Linked DNA regions of Sus scrofa. The protein of the gene in region 2 interacts with the protein of the main gene of each other region in a pairwise test. Links are inferred from orthologs where the notes say so. Each region holds a gene or a part of one and is shown on either strand. Other genes may lie near its edges. The genes, in order: IMMT, myomegalin and SNCA.

Region 1 (2,979 bases), on a different chromosome or scaffold from region 2:
TGATGGGTCTTTTTCTGGGAGAAATGAACATAAAAGCTCTTAAGTACAAGATATTAAATACAATTATTTTCTAAAGTTGTCACTTTCTCCCTTTAATAGACTTTTTTCTTCTTCCTCTAATATTAGGTTCCACCTGTAAATTTATAGATTATACATCAAATATAAGCTTTAGGTAATTTCTGAAACCTTACACATAATGTAGGAGTTTCATGACACTTGCTTTGAGATGTCAAAGGCCCTCTTTGCTTTTGAAGGTATCAGCTGCTGGAAGACTTAGTGGCCCGATAAATGACATGCAGTGATTGAAGCAGCGTCACCTTTTTTCTGTGCACTTTTTATCATTTCAGGACCTATCTGAGAAACTCACTGAACAAGAATTACAGTTTCGTCGGCTCAGTCAAGAGCAAGTCGACAACTTCACTCTGGATATAAACACTGCCTATGCCAGACTGAGAGGAATCGAGCAGGCTGTTCAGAGTAAGTGCACAGGCCTGAGAGATGGTTTCAGTCAGCCCCACCTCTTAGGGTGATTTCTTATTACAAGGATCATGGTATATACATCGTTGACATTAGGGAATGAAGAGGCCCAAGTCACTCTTATTGAACTATATTCATCTCTTGGAAAATTAGCCCCAGATTTGATAAGTTTGGAACACAGTTGTGAGAAGAAATGAAAAAGAATCTAGCTTGAGGTTTTTACTCCCTTATGTGGTGACAGGCAAGAGGTCACCATTTACAAGGCAGTTTACCCAACACTCTGGTTATGTCTCACGTGCCCTGAGTGGAGCAGAACTGCGGTGTGCTGCATGCTTGTCCTCCAGGCTCTTGTCTTGTCTCCAGCCCTGCTGTTGGAGGCTTATCTGGAGGGTAGCTACAGGGGCCTCTCTGCCCTGTTGAAAGTGTAAAACGTCCTTATAGTGAAGATGTCAATGAAATGGGTTTCTTTGGGATGTGATGGAATTGTTTTTGGCAGATGAGTGTAAGAGTAAGCTAAGTACCCATAAAATGTCCAGATCCAGTCGTCTTCCATTCCTATCCATGAAGTTTCTGATGGCCTTAGTTATTATGTCTTAGCCTCGTTTATCCTTTCTTTCTCAAATATTTCTAAAGATAAATACATCTGGTATCTGTTGTCTTAAATGTCACAAGAAGAGGGAAGGGAGACTCAGCTGTGCTTGTGCACACATCCTCCCAGCTTTGTCCATGGTTTTAGTTAAAATAAGTCCTCATCAGATTATGTCAAGCCCTGTCGCCTCATGTGAAGAGGTCTGCTAGGAAAAACGCATCACAAGTAGTGGTGGGATGGGCTTGGAAGAAAGAGGCCGTCTCCGGCTCCACCTTTCTCTTTATTTAGCTTGTTGAAGGCATATCAGTTCTCTGGATATATGAGACGGTTGTGTGGTCAGGTGGAGAAAAAGTCTTTGCTTTTTTTCCCCCCAACAGGTCATGCAGTAGCTGAAGAGGAGGCCAGAAAAGCCCACCAACTCTGGCTCTCGGTGGAGGCATTAAAGTACAGCATGAAGACGGCGTCCCCAGATCTGCCCACTGTTCCCCTGGGGAGCGCGGTCGAGGCCGTCAGAGCCAGCTGCTCCGATTCTGAATTTACCCAGGCTCTAACCGCAGCTCTCCCTCCAGAGTCCCTGACCCGAGGCGTGTATAGTGAAGAGACCCTTAGAGTCCGTTTCTATGCCGTCCAGAAACTGGCCCGAAGAGTAGCCATGATTGATGAGACCAGAAATAGCTTATACCAGTACTTCCTCTCCTACTTACAGTCCCTGCTCCTGTTCCCACCTCAGCAGCTGAAGCCACCGGCAGAGCTCTGCCCTGAGGATACCAGCACATTTAAATTACTGGCCTATGCCTCCTATTGCATTGAGCATGGTGACCTGGAGCTGGCAGCTAAGTTTGTCAATCAGCTGAAAGGGGAGTCCAGACGCGTGGCCCAGGACTGGCTGAAGGAGGCCCGAATGACCCTAGAAACTAAGCAGATAGTGGAAATCCTGACGGCATACGCCAGCGCCGTAGGCATAGGAACCACCCAAGTGCAGCAAGAGTGAGGGCTAGGAGGTCTCACAGTCACACTTCAGGTCAGAGGAAATGAGTAATATGTGACGGGTTTGCAACAGGGCCTACAAGTGAGGTTACAAGTACTGTTCTCTGTGTTCACGCCTGTCGCATTTGTATTATTTCCTCTTGCTATCATGTCAGTCAACTCCAGGAGTACTTTATTTGCAACTTGTGTAACATTTTCTGTTTTTCAGGTTTTACTGATCAGGCTTGCGAGCCAATCAAAATGATGTTTGTGATCACTATTACTATTGATTTTGCCCTTGGAGCAAACTGAATAAAAACAGAAAGGTGAAAACTTTTTGTAGCTTTTCCCTTTTCAAAAAATGCAACTTCTGGGAGTTCCTGTGGTGGCAGAGGAAACGAATCTGATTAGCATCCATGGGGACACAGGTTCGATCCCTGGCCTCACTCAGTGGGTTAAAGATCCAGCACTGCTATGAGCTGTGGTGTAGGTTGCAGACACAGCTAGGATCCCAAATTGCTGTGGCTGTGTTGTAGGCTAGCAGCTGCAGCTCCAGTACCACCCCTAAAAATCTGTATTGTAGGAAATTGGAGATTGGGAGAAGCAGCAACAGCAGAAGTAGGAACTTATGGGCAGTTGGTTTCCAGGCTGGGGACTAGGCCCCAGAAATACTCTAGGCCTGTTCTTGGCTGGTTGTGGTGAACTGATTCCTCCCAGTCAAACTCAATAGTTATGTACAAACCAAAATGCCAATGCATTTACAGCTGTACATGCACCATTCTAGTGATTTCAAAGGCACCAGGAGTACTATGTATCCCAAACTTTTTTGACTGCTACCACAGGAAGAAGTTGTATTTTATGTTGGGACCCATTCAGCCAGACACACTTCTGTGCATGTACACAGGAAACAGTTTCTGGAGCCACCGCTTCCCCTTTCTACTTATGAT
Region 2 (3,650 bases):
TCTGGATCTCAAGCTGGCTGCAGAATAAAGCACTCTGAAGATCAAGCAGAGCCACCTGTTGCTGAGCTGGGGAAGTACCCTCAGAGGTCTGAAAAGAGAGTGGAAATCATTATCACAAGGAGGGCAAGCACTGAGCAGCCGAGAAGACCAGCAAAATCAAGACTATGACTGACAGTTGGGTTGCCCCTCCTGTCCTCCGTGACCATCACATACATGCAGTTGTCCAAGCTGGCTCTGGTGCAGCATTTCTCGAAGCTTTGCCATTGTTTCGTTTTGACCTTCAATCACCTGGTACAACTCCTCAGTCTGAAAATGAGAGAGGGAGTACCAAACATATTAGCCAACTAAATAAACATTCCATTATCTCATCTGTATAGATTTTAGCATCAAGACTACTCCAAAATACCCATTCAGATGACACTATGATTTTTCTGTTAGTCTGACAATATCCATTTCTATAAATTACAGAATTCTTTCTACTTTGATGGGAAAAAAATGTTTCCTCATAGGTCCTTGATGGCCAAACATTTTACCTCGCTTTCCCTGCTTTTCAGAGTTTCCTTGAAGCTTTGAATTGTACTATCTTGCTTCTGAGATGACTGCTGAGCAGACTTTAGTTCACAGCTCATTTCATTCAGTTTTTCTTGAAGAATCTGAATTCAGCAAAGAAAAGCAATTTCTTAGGTCAATGATTTCGTTTAACCTCCAATACAACTAATTCTCAAGTCCTTCTTCAATCCCAGGTTTAAAGGATTTCTCAGGGAATATTACCTTGTTATTTTTTCCCCAATATAGTAACCATTCTAGTCCTAAGTTAATCAGCAAGAGAAAGGAGCGGGAAATATGAACTACTTCCTTCAACACTCTCTTGCTTCAATTCTCACGCACTGTGCTTTCTCTATACTGGCAGCCATACTGGACTCTTGTCCACACAAGTCACTGTGGATCTTTTACATAAAGACCAAGGAGCCACTACAGGACAGGACACAACAAGGGCACACCAGGCCAGGAGTGCAGCATCCCATATTATGGGAATTTTCTTCTAAGCAGATGTTAAAAATCTATGGGCTATAAAGGGGTGAGAAGTTAAACTAAAATCAAAAGCATAAACCTTCTGTCTCAGTGCCTTAATACAGTTTAAAAAAAAATGCATTTAGGCCCAAAAGGCACCAGAAGTTCTGATCTGTGCAGAACAGACTAAAATCTTGATAAGAGATAAAGAAAGAAGTACACTTTTAATCATATATTCCACAGAGCACCAGGCATACAGTCTCCATCTTCCAGGTCCTACTCAGAGAGATTAACAGACTCAGCTAGAGCCAGTCACATTCTCAGGAAACCCTGTGATCCAAGGGCATGGTACCAATCATACCTTGTTGGTGGCCTCAGTTTGCTGGATTTTTTCCTGGAGTTCTGCCAAATGGGAATCAGATACAGACTGCTGAGTTATAGCAGTCTCATCTGAATTCAGCTTTTGTTGTTTGAGTAACTCTTCAGTCATGGTCACAGGCTAGAAGCAGCAGCAAGACAAGTAAGCTGAGTTAAATGTAGCCAACCATACATTTTAATTTTAATCTTCAAATATCTTAGGCATCTTTGGCCAGAGACTTTGAAAACCAGGGTTCTTGTATGGATCATGAGTATGAATTTCTGGAGACAGTCTTCTTCCTTATTGTGAGTGCTGATTTACTTCCATCCTTCCCATACTCCCTAGCTCCCCAACCTACCTTTCCCTACGAGCCTGCACAAACACTATTCAGTTAAAGCAAATTATTCAGAGATTAGAAAGAAGGACTTTTAAAAAATATTTACTTTATCCTATTTTCAGTCAGGCAATTCAAAGGATCAAACTTATACTGTGCATAAGAGAGAAAAAGCTACAGTTCAACTATTTTTCTTACAAACATGCCTATTCACATTACTGGAAAAATGGGTAGATTTTGAATATGGACATACATTAGATAATAGTAGTTTATCAATACTAAATGTCCTAAATTTGGTGATTGTACTGTATTTATGTAAGAGATGGCCTTGTCTTTAGAAAATACATGCTTATTGAGTGTAAAGACGCATAGCATCTGCACCTAATTCTCAAATAGTTCAGGGATTTTTAAAAAAGAGGGTCTAGACAGTGGGAGTGATAAGGCAAATGTAGCAAAATATTAGCAACTGGTGAAACTGGGTAAATATTAGCAATTGGTGAGTCTAGGAGTTCCTGTACTTCATTTATGACATTACTAAGTCTGGAATTATTTCAAAATACAAAGTAAAAAAATAAAAACAAATTTAAAAACCTATGGTGGTCTGAGAAGGAAGTATGTTTTATAAGAATATGAATTCACCAAAAAGATTCAGGAGAGAGAAAAAAAACCACATATATTTGGGAGATCAATCAGACAAAGATAAACTTATTGAACTGTACCTAATATTCATTATGAGCTAAGATACAAAAATAAAACTTGAGCAATTCACTGTGGCATTAAATCCCATCTCCTCTCTCCCTGCTCTGCCCCTCTCCGCCCCTACCCCTATTAGGAACAATACAAATTCCTTAGGAAGAGAAAAAAGGCAATTGCTGTTCATTTTTTCTTTACCTTATACATTCAAATTCTCTGATTACCACCTTCCAGGCAGTGGGGTTACAGCTTACCCTAAATCTCTTCCTGCCAGAACTGGAAGTATAAAGATTTTAGGAAAAAAAAAAAATAAAAAAGAAGAAAAAAAAATCTTTTCTATTTTTCCAGTGCTGTTTATCATTTTCTAAAAACATCTATGAAGTTCCCTAATATGCAAAGCACTGTGGGAACAGGACTGTGGAGCTACATAATAAAAGAACAAGGAAATATAAGACAGTGACAAGACATATGTTGTAAAATAGGGAAGTATGACAGTGTCTATTAAATTATTCTAAATGGGTAGATCTGTGGAAGGTCTCTATCAGGCAGCATTTAAGTGGAGATCTACACATCTACATGATAAGAAGCCAGCTCTGCAAAGATCAATAGAAATAGTCTAGGTAGAGGAACAGCTAATGGAAAAGACCTAGGGCAGCTATGACCTGGGAAAGAGAAAGGCCTAAGTGGTTTGAGAAGCACTTTCCAATAGAAATAAGTGAGCCATATATGCAACTTAAAATTTTCTAGTATCTTTCCTGACTAAAGTAAAAATAAACAGGTAAACTTAATTTCAATAAAACACTTTATTTGACCTAATATATCTAAAATATTATCATACATTCTTTCTATACTAAGTCTTTAAAATTAGGAGTATACTTCACACTCACAGCGTATTTCAGTTTGGACTACCCGCACTTCAGGTATGAGATGAAACAGCCACACAAAACTAGTGGGCAGCCTTGCTGGACAGCACAGGACTAGAGCATAAGGGGCAAAGGGGATGGTAATAGACAATGAGTTAGAGAGGAAGACAGGGGCCAGATCAGATGTGCTTCTGTATACCAGAGATAATGAAGGTGGATTTCATTCTCATTGAAATGAAAATGGACTGCAGTGTTTGTAACAGAGAAGAAATCAATCATATTTAAATTTAAAAAAGATCACTCTAGCTGCTCTGTGCTGAATGTTGAAGAGCACCAGCAGAAATGGGAAGACCAGCCAGGAGGCTGCTGCAGGACTGGAGGGGAAGATGAT
Region 3 (4,153 bases), on a different chromosome or scaffold from region 2:
ATATTTACAGATGAAAAGACATATATAATTCTTGGGATTTAGTAAAAATTGGGGGAAGGAGTAGTGATAAATATAGGGAATAGACAAGAATGCAGATGCACGTGGTTGACTGCATTAGAAAACAATGGAAGGAGTTCCCGTCGTGGCGCAGTGGTTAACGAATCCGACTAGGAACCATGAGGTTGCAGGTTCGGTCCCTGCCCTTGCTCAGTGGGTTAACGATCCTGCGTTGCCGTGAGCTGTGGTGTAGGTTGCAGACGCGGCTCGGATCCCGCGTTGCTGTGGCTCTGGCGTAGGCCGGTGGCTACAGCTCCGATTCAACCCCTAGCCTGGGAACCTCCATATGCCACGGGAGCGGCCCAAGAAATAGCAACAACAACAATAACAACAACAACAACAACAAAAAAAAAAAAAAAGAAGAAAGAAAACAGTGGAAGCTGGGTGATATTCCATGGAGAGTCCTTTATTCTATTTTTGTTTTTGTTTTGCTTTTTAGGGGTGCACCCGCAGTATATGGAAGTTCCCAGGCCAGGGGTGGCTGGACCTGTAGCTACTGGCCTATACTACTACTACAGCCACAGCAACACCAGATCCCAGCCCTATCCCTGACCCACACTGCAGCTCATGGCAATGCAGGATCCTGAACCCATTAAGTGAGGCTGGGGATGGAACCCGCATCCCCACGGATACTAGTTGGGTTTGTCACTGCTGAGCCACAACAGGAATTCCTATTCTCTCCATTCTTGTATGTTTGAACATTTCCCATAATAAAAAGTTGAAAAGAGAGGGATCATCTTGGTTCCTCTCCCTTTACAAGAGAAAACTGAACATAACTTGTATTGGCTCTCAAAGCCAAAAAGCAAACCAACTTCCAAGTTTCCTTCCAAGTTCCCCAGGAAACAAAATAGGAGCGTTTTTAGAAAGCCTACTTTTTAAAAGGGCCGACCATCAGTGCAAGGAGTAGGTTAAGCAATATATATACTTGCTTCCCATCTCTTTGGGTTTCAAACTGTTGTTTTTGTAGATTTAAATTACTTTTTACTCACATTCCAGAATGTGAGTCCAAGGATCAGAGAAATTCCCCCCCACACACACACAAATAAACACAAGACAAGCAAAAAAAAAAAAAAAAATCTGCAAAGACCTGTTTTTTCCCCTTCCAGTTCTAAAAGCATCCTCCTATTCCAGGCAAAGCAAGCAGAGGCAGTCTGTTAGGGGGAGGAGCTTGGTTCTCCATTCCGGTGTGATCCAGGAACAGCTGTTTTCCCTCCAGCTCTGAAAGGTGAAACTGTGTCAAGCAATGCAAAAATTGTCTTGAAGCTCGTGCATGTGTATGTCTGTGTGTCTGTGTGTGGGATGGGGTAGCCTGTCAGCCCCGAGGACAACGTGAATCAGTAGTCGGAAAGGTGAGTGGTATGTGGAATCTCTCTTTTCAGAAGGGGCCCATGAAATTGGATATGACGGTTCAGGAGACTCAGTCACTCTGGATTTATCTCTTCCATCCAGGAACAGGAATCTGGAAAGTAAATCCCATTCTGAGAACAAAACGCCTTACAGCCGCTGGGTTTCGACGGCTGGGGAATATTTATTCCTTGATCCACTGATGGGAAAAATCAGCGTCTGGCAGCCGCTGATTGGTGGAAAGAAAATGGTGATAGTGGGGTGGGAAGAGGATTTGACGAGCCTCCTCCTGCCTCCTCAACCTGTAACTCATCCTTACTAGTCGCCTCTCCACCTGCCGGACCACTTCGGGCTCAGGAGAGGTTAAGAACAAACGTTAAATCCGGAGAATAGTTAAACAAAAGCTTCGTTAACATTGTGTCCTAAGGACCCTTCATCCAATTTCAGTGATGCGAGGGAAACCTGCGCTTGGTCCTGATGCGGGTACCTTCCGAAGCTACCTGTCTCCTTTAGCAGCTCCCCGAAAGACTGGCGCTATTTTGGTGGTAGAGCCCTCAGACCCCACTTCCCCGGGCTGGCTCATGACGTGGGGGTCCGCAGGAAAAACCGGGGGGAAAGGCGGAGACTGGGAAGGAGGGGGGATGGGGAGAGAGAAACAGACATCAGACATCAGCCCAAGCCTCAGAGCTCCGGATCGCCGCCAGAGCCCGGGCGCCCCTGAACTTGAGGTGAACCGCCCAACACCCCACCTTCCAGTCTCCCAAGCCCAGGCGGGCGGCTGGCGTTGGAGGTACAGCCTCCCACCACCCCCATCCGAGAAGAGGAGTGAAGTGCACGCGGCGGGGAAAGCAACGCGCGCAGGGAGCGGGGCGGGGAGCGGCGCTGACAAATCCGCTGCGGGGGCGGGGAGCGGAGGAGAAGGAGGAGGAAGACGAGGAGAAGGACCGAGACCACTAGAAGGGGACCCAGGAGAGGGGGCGAGAGACAGAGCGCAGCGACGTGGGGGTGAGGTGTGTGCTGGCTTTGGAGCAGACCCGGGGACCGCGCCTTGCCTTTGGCAGCCTTGGCGCTCTTTCGCCGCCTTCCCTTCCTCCCTTCTTCTGCCTGGAATCCTCTCGTGCGGGGGACGGGGAGTGGCGATTCGACGACAGGTTCGCGGGTTCCCTCCCACGCCCCCAGCCTCTCCCCCCAGGGTTGTGCCGACAGCCGCCTCCGCTGAGGGCCATCCCTCTCCTGGTGCCGCCTCCACCCTTCCTGTGCGCTCCTATCCTCCTCCCTCCCATTTAAATAATATTTAGGAATTGTTTTTAAAATTTTTTAAGTGGGTGCGGGGAGGATCGGAGTTCTCAGGAGCCAAGGGAATCAGGTAAGTACCTGTGAATCTAAGTGGGCAGCTTGGGAAATCTTGGAGAAAACCTGGTGGGAGAAGAGTCATTGCGGCGCCTGGGGGGGGGGGGGGGTTAGTGCTGCGGTGAGGACCTGCCATAGTCGAGTCTCTCTTAGAGGTGGGCACTGACCCCTTTGGTGAGCTTGAGGAAAGTAAATTGACTCGGCTTACCTCTCTTCTCGTCCTCAAAGGCTGAGCGGTCTGGATTCTCCGGGATACGCTTTTCCTTTGGGAAAGTCGAGGATGCTCGAAGGATTATAACTATTCAACTTTTATTTCTTACTTTCCTTAAATCCCCCAGCCCACCCTCTCTGTTCTCTCTGTAAAGTAAGCAAGCTGTATTGGGCAAGCCTTTAAATGGAAGCGCAGAGAGAGCAAGTCAACAGGTGGGAAGGGGTTAACAGGTGCTGGGCGCCGGGTGGGTGGCGGGTTCAGCGGGCTAACTCCACCTCTGGCAGCTGGCGCGCATCCGGAGACTGCCTGCAGGTGTGAACGCTCCTGCTTGCCTGCTCAGGGTAGACAGCTGAAGGTGGGGTACAGCGTCCAGTGGGTGAGAGCCACTGCAGGTGGGCTTGCAGTTGGCCTGGGGTTCAGCCACACCCAGAGTGAGTGGTTCTCTTCCCACCCCTCTTCCTGATCAACCTGTTAGCTGTTTGGGGGATTTATTTTGAGTATCTCTGACCCCCCCTCCTCCAGCTCCTTTTTCCGTTTCCTGTGATCTGTCTTCTAAACGCACTTCTAACTTAACACCTTCATCGTTTGGACCCTGGGAAATTGAAAGGGGGGAGGGGGTAAGTCCTTTCATGTAACTCCACTTGGAATGCGGTGAGAACAACTCAGATGATTCATCCCAATCCATGTTTAGGAGGCTAGACTTCCACCAAACAAGATGGATGGGAGATGCTAAATTTTTAATGCAAAAGCTAAAAAAAGGCTGCTTTGTCCAGTGGTTGAAACAGAGGTACACCTACAAGAGTCCTGCATTTTTTTTGGGGGGGGGCGGGGGAGTCTACTGATCTTTCAGTGATTTTTACCTTGGGTGGTTCTAATTTCGTTTTGTTTTACCCCAAAGTTCTCAAAGTGTATTTTGTGTTCTCCAGTGTGGTGTAAAGGAATTCATTAGCCATGGATGTATTCATGAAAGGACTTTCAAAAGCCAAGGAGGGAGTCGTGGCTGCTGCTGAAAAAACCAAACAGGGTGTGGCAGAAGCAGCGGGAAAGACAAAAGAGGGTGTGCTCTATGTAGGTAGGTAAGCCCTAGATGTCAATTTGAAATTTATTTATGACTGGTGGGTTAGGGTGATTGATGCCTTAAATGCTGGTATTTCTCAGTTTTGCAGCTTCACTTGTCAAAATGATGGTCTG

Evidence for each region.
Region 1: the proteins of myomegalin (region 2) and IMMT interact in a two-hybrid assay, tested with the Homo sapiens proteins (2 studies listed by BioGRID and IntAct, with this or other methods). The link is inferred for Sus scrofa from reciprocal best matches to the Homo sapiens genes PDE4DIP and IMMT.
Region 3: the proteins of myomegalin (region 2) and SNCA interact in a two-hybrid assay, tested with the Homo sapiens proteins (2 studies listed by BioGRID and IntAct). The link is inferred for Sus scrofa from reciprocal best matches to the Homo sapiens genes PDE4DIP and SNCA.

Annotation. Positions count from the first base shown.
Region 1 is NC_010445.4:58,629,973-58,632,951, forward strand, and holds the end of IMMT (MICOS complex subunit MIC60), read left to right. Parts: intron 1-347; coding exon 348-477; intron 478-1,443; coding exon 1,444-2,057; 3' UTR 2,058-2,365; downstream 2,366-2,979. UniProt on the Homo sapiens protein: Component of the MICOS complex, a large protein complex of the mitochondrial inner membrane that plays crucial roles in the maintenance of crista junctions, inner membrane architecture, and formation of contact sites to the outer membrane.
Region 2 is NC_010446.5:100,720,578-100,724,227, forward strand, and holds part of myomegalin, read right to left. Parts: intron 1,511-3,650; coding exon 1,373-1,510; intron 654-1,372; coding exon 534-653; intron 307-533; coding exon 214-306; intron 89-213; coding exon 1-88. UniProt on the Homo sapiens protein: Functions as an anchor sequestering components of the cAMP-dependent pathway to Golgi and/or centrosomes.
Region 3 is NC_010450.4:129,246,520-129,250,672, forward strand, and holds the start of SNCA (alpha-synuclein), read left to right. Parts: upstream 1-1,204; 5' UTR 1,205-1,282; exon of another isoform or gene 1,283-1,406; intron 1,407-2,039; exon of another isoform or gene 2,040-2,767; intron 2,768-2,884; exon of another isoform or gene 2,885-2,906; intron 2,907-3,255; exon of another isoform or gene 3,256-3,579; intron 3,580-3,656; exon of another isoform or gene 3,657-3,749; intron 3,750-3,888; 5' UTR 3,889-3,913; coding exon 3,914-4,034; intron 4,035-4,153. UniProt on the Homo sapiens protein: Neuronal protein that plays several roles in synaptic activity such as regulation of synaptic vesicle trafficking and subsequent neurotransmitter release.